Linked DNA regions of Cricetulus griseus. Each later gene encodes a partner of the first gene's protein in a complex. Links are inferred from orthologs where the notes say so. Each region holds a gene or a part of one and is shown on either strand. Other genes may lie near its edges. The genes, in order: Pola2 and Prim1.

Region 1 (4,419 bases):
TATGTGTGTCACCGCTCTGTAGGAGCTTGTGGAGGCCAGGTATCAGATCCCCTGAAACTGGAGTTAGAGTGCTGGAATCAAACCCAGGTCCTTTTTGAAAGCATTGAGCAAGCACAACAGCTAAGCCGTCTCTATAGCCTGTTTGTTGTTTTTTGTTGGTTTTCTCAGACAGGGTCTCTCTGTGTATGTAGCCTTGGCTGGAACTTGCAGAGGCTCCCATCTCAGTCGTGCTGAGATTACAGGTGTACCCTTCCTTTTGTTGTTGTTGTTGTTTTATTTTTCAAGATAGGGTTTCTCTGTGTAATCCTAGCTGTCCTGGACTCGCTCTGTAGACCATGCTGGCCTCCAACTCAGAGGATCTTCTTGCCTCTGCCTCTGAACGCTGGGCTCACACTGTTTTCTTCAAAGGCTGTCAGTGCTCCATTCCATTCTTAGCACATGGTGTCACAGGTCACTTGATTAAGCCAAACCAATGCAGATTTGGGTTCCAAAAATTAGGAAATAAACTGGGCGTTGGTGGCACATGCCTTTAACTCCAGCACTCGGGAGGCAGGAGCAGGCGGATCTTTGCACGTTCGCGGCCAGCCTAGTCTACAGAGTGAGTTCCGGGGCTGCCAAGGCTGTTGTTACACAGAGAAACCCTGTCTTGAAAAATAAAATAAAATAACTAGGAAATATATCAGGGAGAGAATTCACTCATTTACTGCCCAAGCCAGTGGTTCTCAAACCATGGGTCAGGTCCCCTTTGGGGAATCCAACAACACACACACACAGGTGTCATGTATCAGACAGCCTGCATCTCAGTTATTTACATTGCAACTTATAACAGTAGCAAAATTACAGTTATGAAGTAGTAACGAAATGACTTTACGGCTGTGGGTGACCACAACATTAGAGGGTCCCCGCATTAGAAAGGTTGGGAATGGCCGGGCGGTGGTGGTGGCGCCTTTAGTCCCAGCACTTGCGGATCTTTGTGAGTTCAACGCCAGCCTGGTCTACAAAGCGAGTTACAGGATAGGCTCCAAAGCTACACTGAGAAACCCTGTCTCAAAAAACAAAACCAAAAAAAAAAAAAAAAAAAAAGGAAGAAAGGTTGAGAATCACTGCCACTGCCCTAAGCGCTCCCCTTCAGTGATCTGCCAGGCACGGACGGACAGCGCTTCCTGGCCCATAGAAATGGGACAAACAGGCATGGCAGAGCTTCCCAGCGCAGGCGACCCCTGAAACACACCGCCGCAGCAAGAGGAGGCAGGAACTCTTCTTTCCGCGCCGACCGACGCTCAGCGGGCGCGTTCCGCGCAGGCGCAATGGACGGACCGGCGCGTGCGCGGGGAGGGCCGTGTGGAGCGGTCCTCGCGCAAGCGCGCGCCGGGCTAAGCGTTTGGCGGGTTTTTCCCGGCTGTGCTCCTCACTCAGAAGCTAAGCGGTAGCTTCGGAAGCAAGTTTCCTCTCCGGAACGAGACCTTTCGAGTTTTTGTCGTTGTTGACGTATCTCTCTGTGACCTGCTGGATAGGGTCTTCTGAGGGCTTAGGCCAGTTGTCTCTGGTGGCGCGTCCCTGTCACTTTCCCCCAAAGCGAAAGGATAAGCCTCTGCTGAGCAGACTTGAGCTGAGGCAGCGCCCGGCCCCTCCGGGTCATCATGGCCGTGTCCACCCAGCAGCTGGCGGAGGAGCTACAGATCTTCGGCCTGGACTGCGAGGACGCCCTGATGGAGAAACGTGAGTCCCGAACCGAGGGGGTCCCTTCCAAATTGCATATGCTCGTGGGGTCTTGCTTGGGTCCTGATCAAACAGGAGGTGACACTGCCAAAAGGAGACATTGGGACCGTTTGCAGCTCATACCTAGTCATCTGTTGCTCTATGACTTTTCTCATCAGAGTTGGTTTTTAAAGACAGGGTCTTGCTATGGAGCCCTGGCTGTCATAGAACTCACTATGTAGACCACTTAGCTGGTCTCGAACTCACAGAGATCGCCTGCTGGGATATTAAAGGTGTGCACCACCATGCCTGGCTCATAGTTTTAGTGGTCTGTGCAAATAGAAATTCCTCGAGGTGGATTCCTAATAATTTATTTTTGCTTTGGAAGAAACTTCAGGGAGCTTATTGGCCCCCTCTCTTTATAGATGGAGGAACACAGGCAAGGAGAATTAATTATCTAAGCAGTGTGCCAACCCCAGTCTCTTGCCCTGGAGTCCAGCTCCTCATCATATTGGTCCATAGAGTCCAATGGTGAAGACTTAAATCACACATCTCTTGGAAAATGTGTGTCATCAGAATAGCGCTGTGGGTATACTTGCCTTAACCAATCATCAACACTTTGAACTTCTGATTTTAGGAATTAAAACCGTAGTGTAAGTGGGCTTGTCTGTTATTCCAGCACTTGGGAGAACGAGGCCAGGAGGATCACAGAGAATTCAAAGTCAGCTAGGGCTAGACAGTGAGATCTGTCTGCTTTGCTTTTAAAGTTTAATAATTTGTAATGCATTTCTTCATGGAGACTGAAATAGTCCAAGTCCTTGTGAAGTCTTAAAAATAATCTGTTCTTTCTTTTTAAAATTTCTTGAAATAGGGCCTCTTTTTGTAGCCCAGGCTGGTCTCAAACTAGCAGAGATCACCTAGCTCTGCCTCCTGAGTGCTACAATTATTTATTTTTATGTGAATTAGTGTTGGTCTGTGTGTATACAACTGGGCACATGCATGCAGAGCCCACAAAAGCCAGAAGAGGGAGCCAGCCTCTGGAACTAGAGTTATTGCTGCTTGTATATCATCAGGAGCTTCCCTGGCACCACTCCCGGGTTTCCTTTGGATTTTGTCACCACCACTTCTCGCCTTTGAAGATTCATTTTTATCTTCATGTGAATGGCCAGGACTCAGAACCAGAATCACTTCCGGCTAGATACATTCACTCCTGTGGTGAATCACTTAGTCTTCCTTGATCACTCTCAAGCTGGCTGGTTAGCTTGCTCCAAACATTCCATCTCTGCCTTCCACACACTGGGAAGTAAAGACATGCCACCATGCCCATGTGCTCGTCTTCACGATAGTGTGGCAGGCACTTTACCTGCTGAGGCCTCTCCCCGGCCCCTCGTATGTAAATTGCCAGACTCCTCCTTAGCTCTATAATCCCTTTCCCACCAACTTCATTTTTCTACATCTCATCTTTGAGCATCTAAAGTACCATATACTTTCCTGTCCTGTCTTCCCCTCAGTAGTAAGCTTCCTGTGAATAAAAACAAAAAACTTCTTGGTTTTGTTCACTGCTGTGTTCCCAGGGCCTGTGAATAAGCAGTGACTGGACATCACAGGATTGCTTTGCCTCAATATGAAAGCAAAAAGAAGTGAACTCAAGGGGCTGGAGAGATGGCTTGGAGGTTAAGAACACTGGCTGCTCTTCCAGAGGTCCTGAGTTCAATTCCCAGCAACCACTTGGTGGCTCACAACCACCTGTGATGAGAGCATGCTTGCAGAACACTGTGTACATAATAAATAAGCAAATCTTAAAAAGAAAGAAATGAACTAAGTTCTTCCTTGCCTGTTTCTCTCCCTACAGTGGCGGAACTGTGTGTTCTTTACAGACAGACTGAGGAGGGAATGGTAAGCGAGCTTATTGCCTTCTGCACCAGCACAGGGAAAGTGTGCCTTACTGCAGAGATCCTGAACTCTTTTGAACATGAGGTAAGAGCAAATGTGAGTTAACTAATGTTCTTATGCTGCATGGAGGTGCACAATATATGAAAAGATGCAGGCTGTGGAGTCTGACCTTGATTCTGGTCCCAGTGTGAGCTTGGTCTTCTACTTCTTTTCTTCCCTTCTTCATTTCTTTCTATCATAGTGTCTTGTCTCTTGTGTGTGTGTGTGTGTGTGTGTGTGTGTGTGTGTGTGTGTGCGCGCATTTGTATGCACACCTATGCTAAAGTGTTTAGAGGATAGCCATGAAAAATGGTGTTGGTTTTGAAATGGTGGTGGCACACACCTTTAAGAGAGGCAGAGGCAGTTGGATCTCTGAGTTTGAGGCCAGCCTGGTCTATATAGCGAGTTTCAGAACAGTCAGCCAGGGCTACATAGTGAGCCCCTGTCTTGAGAAGGAAAAGAAAAGTTGATTCTCTCCTTCTACTAAGTAGGTTCTGGGGTTCAAATTCAGGCCATTAGGCTTAGCAGAAAGTGCCTTTGCCCATTAAATCATGTCGCTGGGCCCCTACGTAATATTTCTGAGCCTTGGTTTTTTGGTTTTCTTTTGTTTGTTTGGTTTTTTTTTCTTCTGTCAAGTTCTGATAAACTGTTTTGTTTTGGTTTTTTTGTTGGTTTTTTTTTTGTTGTTGTTGTTGTTGTTGGTTTTTCAAGACAGGATTTCTCTGGCTTTGGATGATGTCCTGGAACTAGCTCTTGTAGACCAGGCTGGTCTCAAAGTCACAGAGATCC
Region 2 (4,397 bases), on another chromosome or scaffold:
GGATAATGTTGGACTGCTAATCCTGCTGCCAGCCAGCAGAGTGCTGGAATTATAAGCATGTGCCACTACATCCAGATATGTAGTCCTAGAGTCCTGAGCTTCCATGCTGGGCAAACAATCAAAGGAGCCACCCCCCAGTCCCTGCCACACCCTACAGAGTTAAGTGACTGCTCCTCCACAGCCCTCACAGAAGGTACCTGAACTGTTACTTGGAAAATATAAAAGAGGGTCTTTAGACTTGGGGGACAAAAGGCACAGTTGAAAAAGGATATATTATAGAGAGATTAACCATGTATTTTTATATGAAATGCTAATATTTAGCCCTTTCTTTTAAATTGTATCTATTTTTATGTCTATGTATGAGAGAGAGAGAGAGAGAGAGTGTGTGTGTGTGTGTAGTATACACATGCATGGGATGTTAGGTGTTCTACTTGATTACTTCTCCATTTCATTCCCTAGAGACAGGGTCTCTCACAGAACGTGGAGTTTGGCTGATTGCCAGAAAACCCCAGCGATCCTCCTGCCTCTGCCCTCCATAGTACTGAGGTTATAGGTGTAAGTGTAGACACAACCAGCTCTTATGTGAATGCTGGAGGTTTGAACTCAGGTCCAAAGCAAGTTTTCTTCCTATTGAGCCATCTCCTCAGCCAGGGACCCAGTCCTTTCTCCTTATGTCTGTTGCTTTCCACTTCCAACCCAGGCAGCAGACTAGACTCTTTTCTAAAGAATCTGACCAGATGTGTTGGGCTCTAGGGATAGGTCAGTGACTAAACAAAGATCACTATGCTAGTGGAGATATTATTCTGACAAAGACCTAGAGAAACTTAGCACAGAGTCCCTAAGAATATGGCTCGGCCAGACCACTTTCCAGTAAAAACATCATGTCTGTAGCCGGGTACTTTAGTAAATTCCAGCAACTCAGGAGGCAGAAGCAGGAATATTATGAATGGGGGAAGTGGAGTTAAGTATAAAATAGGCTTTAATAAATTACCATTGAAATCCCTAGAAATAAGGTATTTCAAAGAAAAAGGTTGGGATATTTAGAAAAAGTATAGCTACCCCACAATTGAAGACCATGAGTGTGGTAAGGGTCCATTCAATACCTATCAGAACAGACAATACCAAAGTGTACAGTTGTATAGTTTTAGAACTAGGGAAAGAAAGGTTACCAGAAAATCTTAAGAGCTCCCAGGTCTCATGCATTAGAGAGAGAATAACATTAGTTTCCGACCCCTGGTGCAACAGGGATCTGGTACGGATTTAACGTAGGGTCTGCCAGAACACATTCATCTAATCTATATCCCAGATCCTTTTCTGAGAAACTTAATAAAAACTTCTATACTTAATTGTTTCATCTGTGCAGATGCATGTATATATGTCAGAGGTTGAAGTCAGGTATTCAACCACTCTCCACCTCAGTGAGACTGGGTCTCTTCCTGAACCTGGAGCTCCCTGATTCCACTACTCTGGCTGGCCAGCAAACTCAAGGGATTCGCTTGTCTTTGCCTCAGGACATGGGTACTGAGGGATTCTCAAGTCAGGTCCCCAAACACTTTAACAACTGTGATATCTCCTCAGCCTCAGGCTTACTGTTTTCAAATATAGATTTATTTTATTTTTCTCTTTTAGCCAATCAAATCAAAGGTTTTTTGTTTGTTTTCAGAGACAGGGTTTCTCTTGCAGCCCTGGCTGTCCTGGAACTAACTCTGTAGATGAGATCTGCCTGTCTCTGGAATTAAAGGAGTGCGTCACCACCCCAGCAAGAATTTTCTTCTTCCATTTTAAAGACATGGTCTCATGTATTTCAAACTGGCCTCCAATTCCTTTGCAGCTAAGAAGGGCTTAGACATCTGATCCTCTGGCCTCCTCTTCCTTTTCACTGGGTTATAGGTAATGCACCAACACACTTGGTTTATGGAACCCAAGAGTCCATGCATGCCAGGCAAAACCAGTGTGTTTGATCAATCATAACAAACTCTAAAACATGACCTTCAAAACTTGGGGGTATCAATTCACTCTGGCCTACGAAACAAAACACACAAAAAAGATTCCTTACTCTGTGAGAATATACAGCACCGATATCAATCTTGTATGGATTCATTTTCTGCATCTCCTTTTCCAGCTCACTCTGGTTGCTGAAGGACTGGTATCTAATGTAAATATCATCTTTCAGTGTGAATGAAAATTCACGGTGTTGAAAGTAATTCTTTGTCACTGCAAAATAATTTTAATTTGGTACTTTATTCAGTTTAGGGCATTACATAATCTCAACTAATGGGACTATACACACACACACACACACACACACACACACACACACACACACACAATAGGGTCTTACTGTGTAGACTAGGCTGCCCTAGAATTTACTGTGTAGCCCAGGTTGGCCTTGAACTCATGAAAATTCACCTACCTCAGCCTCACAAAGGTAAGGATTACAGGTGTGAGTCACCAGGCTATCTAGAATATTTTTATGAGTGCTCTTGTTCTACTTAGTCTGCAATTTGAAGGGACGTACCACTCCACATTTGCTAGAGAACAATGAACAGGAGGTGCAAATATTTTAAAAGACGCAATGCCTTTCATCGGTGGGCCTTAAACAGCCCTAGCTGTGAAAGTGTCTTTCTTCCCAGCACCTGGTTGCAGGTCACACCTGCGCGCCTCCATGCTAACACCCGCTTGCTGCTGGCCCCGTTCTTTTAACAGTGTGGCTAGGTCCACCTGTCTTTCCGTACCTCAGAGGTGGTGAGGCGGGATGGAGACGGTGCAGGAAGGCACCCGACAGTCATGTGAGGACATCTCTCCCAGAATCTTCCCGCACACGGCTCCCAGCCCCACTCCCCACCCCGCTCCAGCCTCCTTCACCTCCGCCATAGTTGAGCCAGCGATAGTACTGGGCGTAGGGAAAGAGGCGTCGGTAATATAGCTTCAGTAGCTCCGGCAGCTCGGCAGGATCAAACGGCTCCATGAAGTCAGGAACTAGACAGACACGAGAATTGGCGGGAACGACTCAGGGCTCCGCGGCTGTGCACGCATCCAAGTCGTGGCGCGCCGCCGCAGGGACTGCCGGGAATTGTAGTTCTTGAGAGTCCCGCAGCTCTTGCTCTTTTTTTGGGTGGGCGAGTTCGGAGACATTGCCTGGAAAAACAAAACAACATAACGACAAAGAACTTAGTTTTTTTTGAGCAGTGGTTGAAAGCATAGCTCAGAGTTCTTTTTTTTTATTTGTTTAATTTTGCATTAACATTTACTGTGTTCTATTATTTTAAATATGTATTTTTTAAAATACAGAGTCTTGCTTTGTTTGTCCAGGTTGGCCTCAAATTAGAGATTTCTCATGCTTCTGAATTTCAAGTGCTGAGATCATTACTGTATGTCACCAGGCTGGTTTTTTGTTTGTTCGTTTTTTGAGACAGGGTTTCTCTATGTAACATCCCTGGATGTCCTGGAACTAACTCACTTACTCTTTAGAACAGGCTGGCCTCGAACTCACAGAGATTGCCCTGCCTCTGCCTCCTGAGTGCTGGGATTAAAAGTGTGTACTGCCACCACCCAGCTTCCCCTTTCCTTTTTTAAAAAAGACAGCTTCTTGCTGTGTAGCTCTGGCTAGCACAACCAGCAGACCATGCTGGCCTTCAGTTTGCAATGATTCTTCCACGTCTGCCTTCCCGCGCTGGAATTACAGCTGTGCACCACCATACCACTGTCTTTGACCCATTTTCATCGAAGTTGGCTTTTGTACTTGGTGAGACGTGGGGGTCTTGTTTTATTTTTCTGCATACGGATATCTAATTTTATCAGTAACATTTACTGAAAATGTCTTTTCTCCAATGTATGTTCTTAACGTCTTTTCCAAAAAAATCAGTTGGCTATAAACAACATAGATTCATTAATGCGTTCTCAATTCCATTCCATTTAGAATTCTACTTTATGTACTCTCTGGCCACGGCCTATATATTTAGTCTTTCAAACAGAACACCCAGGAATACTAAAATATGAATTAGAAGGAAGTTGAAGAACATTAAAAAAAATGAAGAAAGCATATTTGCTATTGATGTGTTAATCTGCCAGTCAGTCTTCCTATGTCAAGACGTGTCTTACAGTTATGGACTAGGTGGGCAGTCTGATAACTCATCAATATTTCGTCACTTGAAAATCATACTTTAAAATTTTTGCAGAAGCAGGTGGATCTCTGTTAGTTTGAGGCCAGCCTGGTCGCCAGAGCGAGGGCCAGGATAGGCTCCAAAGCTACACAGAGAAACCCTGTCTCGAAAAACCAAAAAAAAAAAAAAAAAAAAAAAATTGCTAATTTATTTTAATTAAAAAATATTTTTAACTTTTTAAAAATTTTAATTTTCTCATTTTTAATTTTTAAATTAATTTTTAAAGACTAATTT

The links.
Region 2: Pola2 (region 1) and Prim1 share a complex: the UniProt entries of both Homo sapiens proteins name them as parts of the alpha DNA polymerase complex. The link is inferred for Cricetulus griseus from reciprocal best matches to the Homo sapiens genes POLA2 and PRIM1.

The regions. Positions count from the first base shown.
Region 1 is NC_048596.1:53,379,489-53,383,907, forward strand, and holds the start of Pola2 (DNA polymerase alpha subunit B), read left to right. Parts: upstream 1-1,354; 5' UTR 1,355-1,640; coding exon 1,641-1,719; intron 1,720-3,550; coding exon 3,551-3,675; intron 3,676-4,419. UniProt on the Homo sapiens protein: Accessory subunit of the DNA polymerase alpha complex (also known as the alpha DNA polymerase-primase complex) which plays an essential role in the initiation of DNA synthesis.
Region 2 is NW_023276806.1:129,848,760-129,853,156, forward strand, and holds the start of Prim1 (DNA primase small subunit), read right to left. Parts: upstream 3,035-4,397; 5' UTR 2,969-3,034; coding exon 2,866-2,968; intron 2,215-2,865; coding exon 2,057-2,214; intron 1-2,056. UniProt on the Homo sapiens protein: Catalytic subunit of the DNA primase complex and component of the DNA polymerase alpha complex (also known as the alpha DNA polymerase-primase complex - primosome/replisome) which play an essential role in the initiation of DNA synthesis.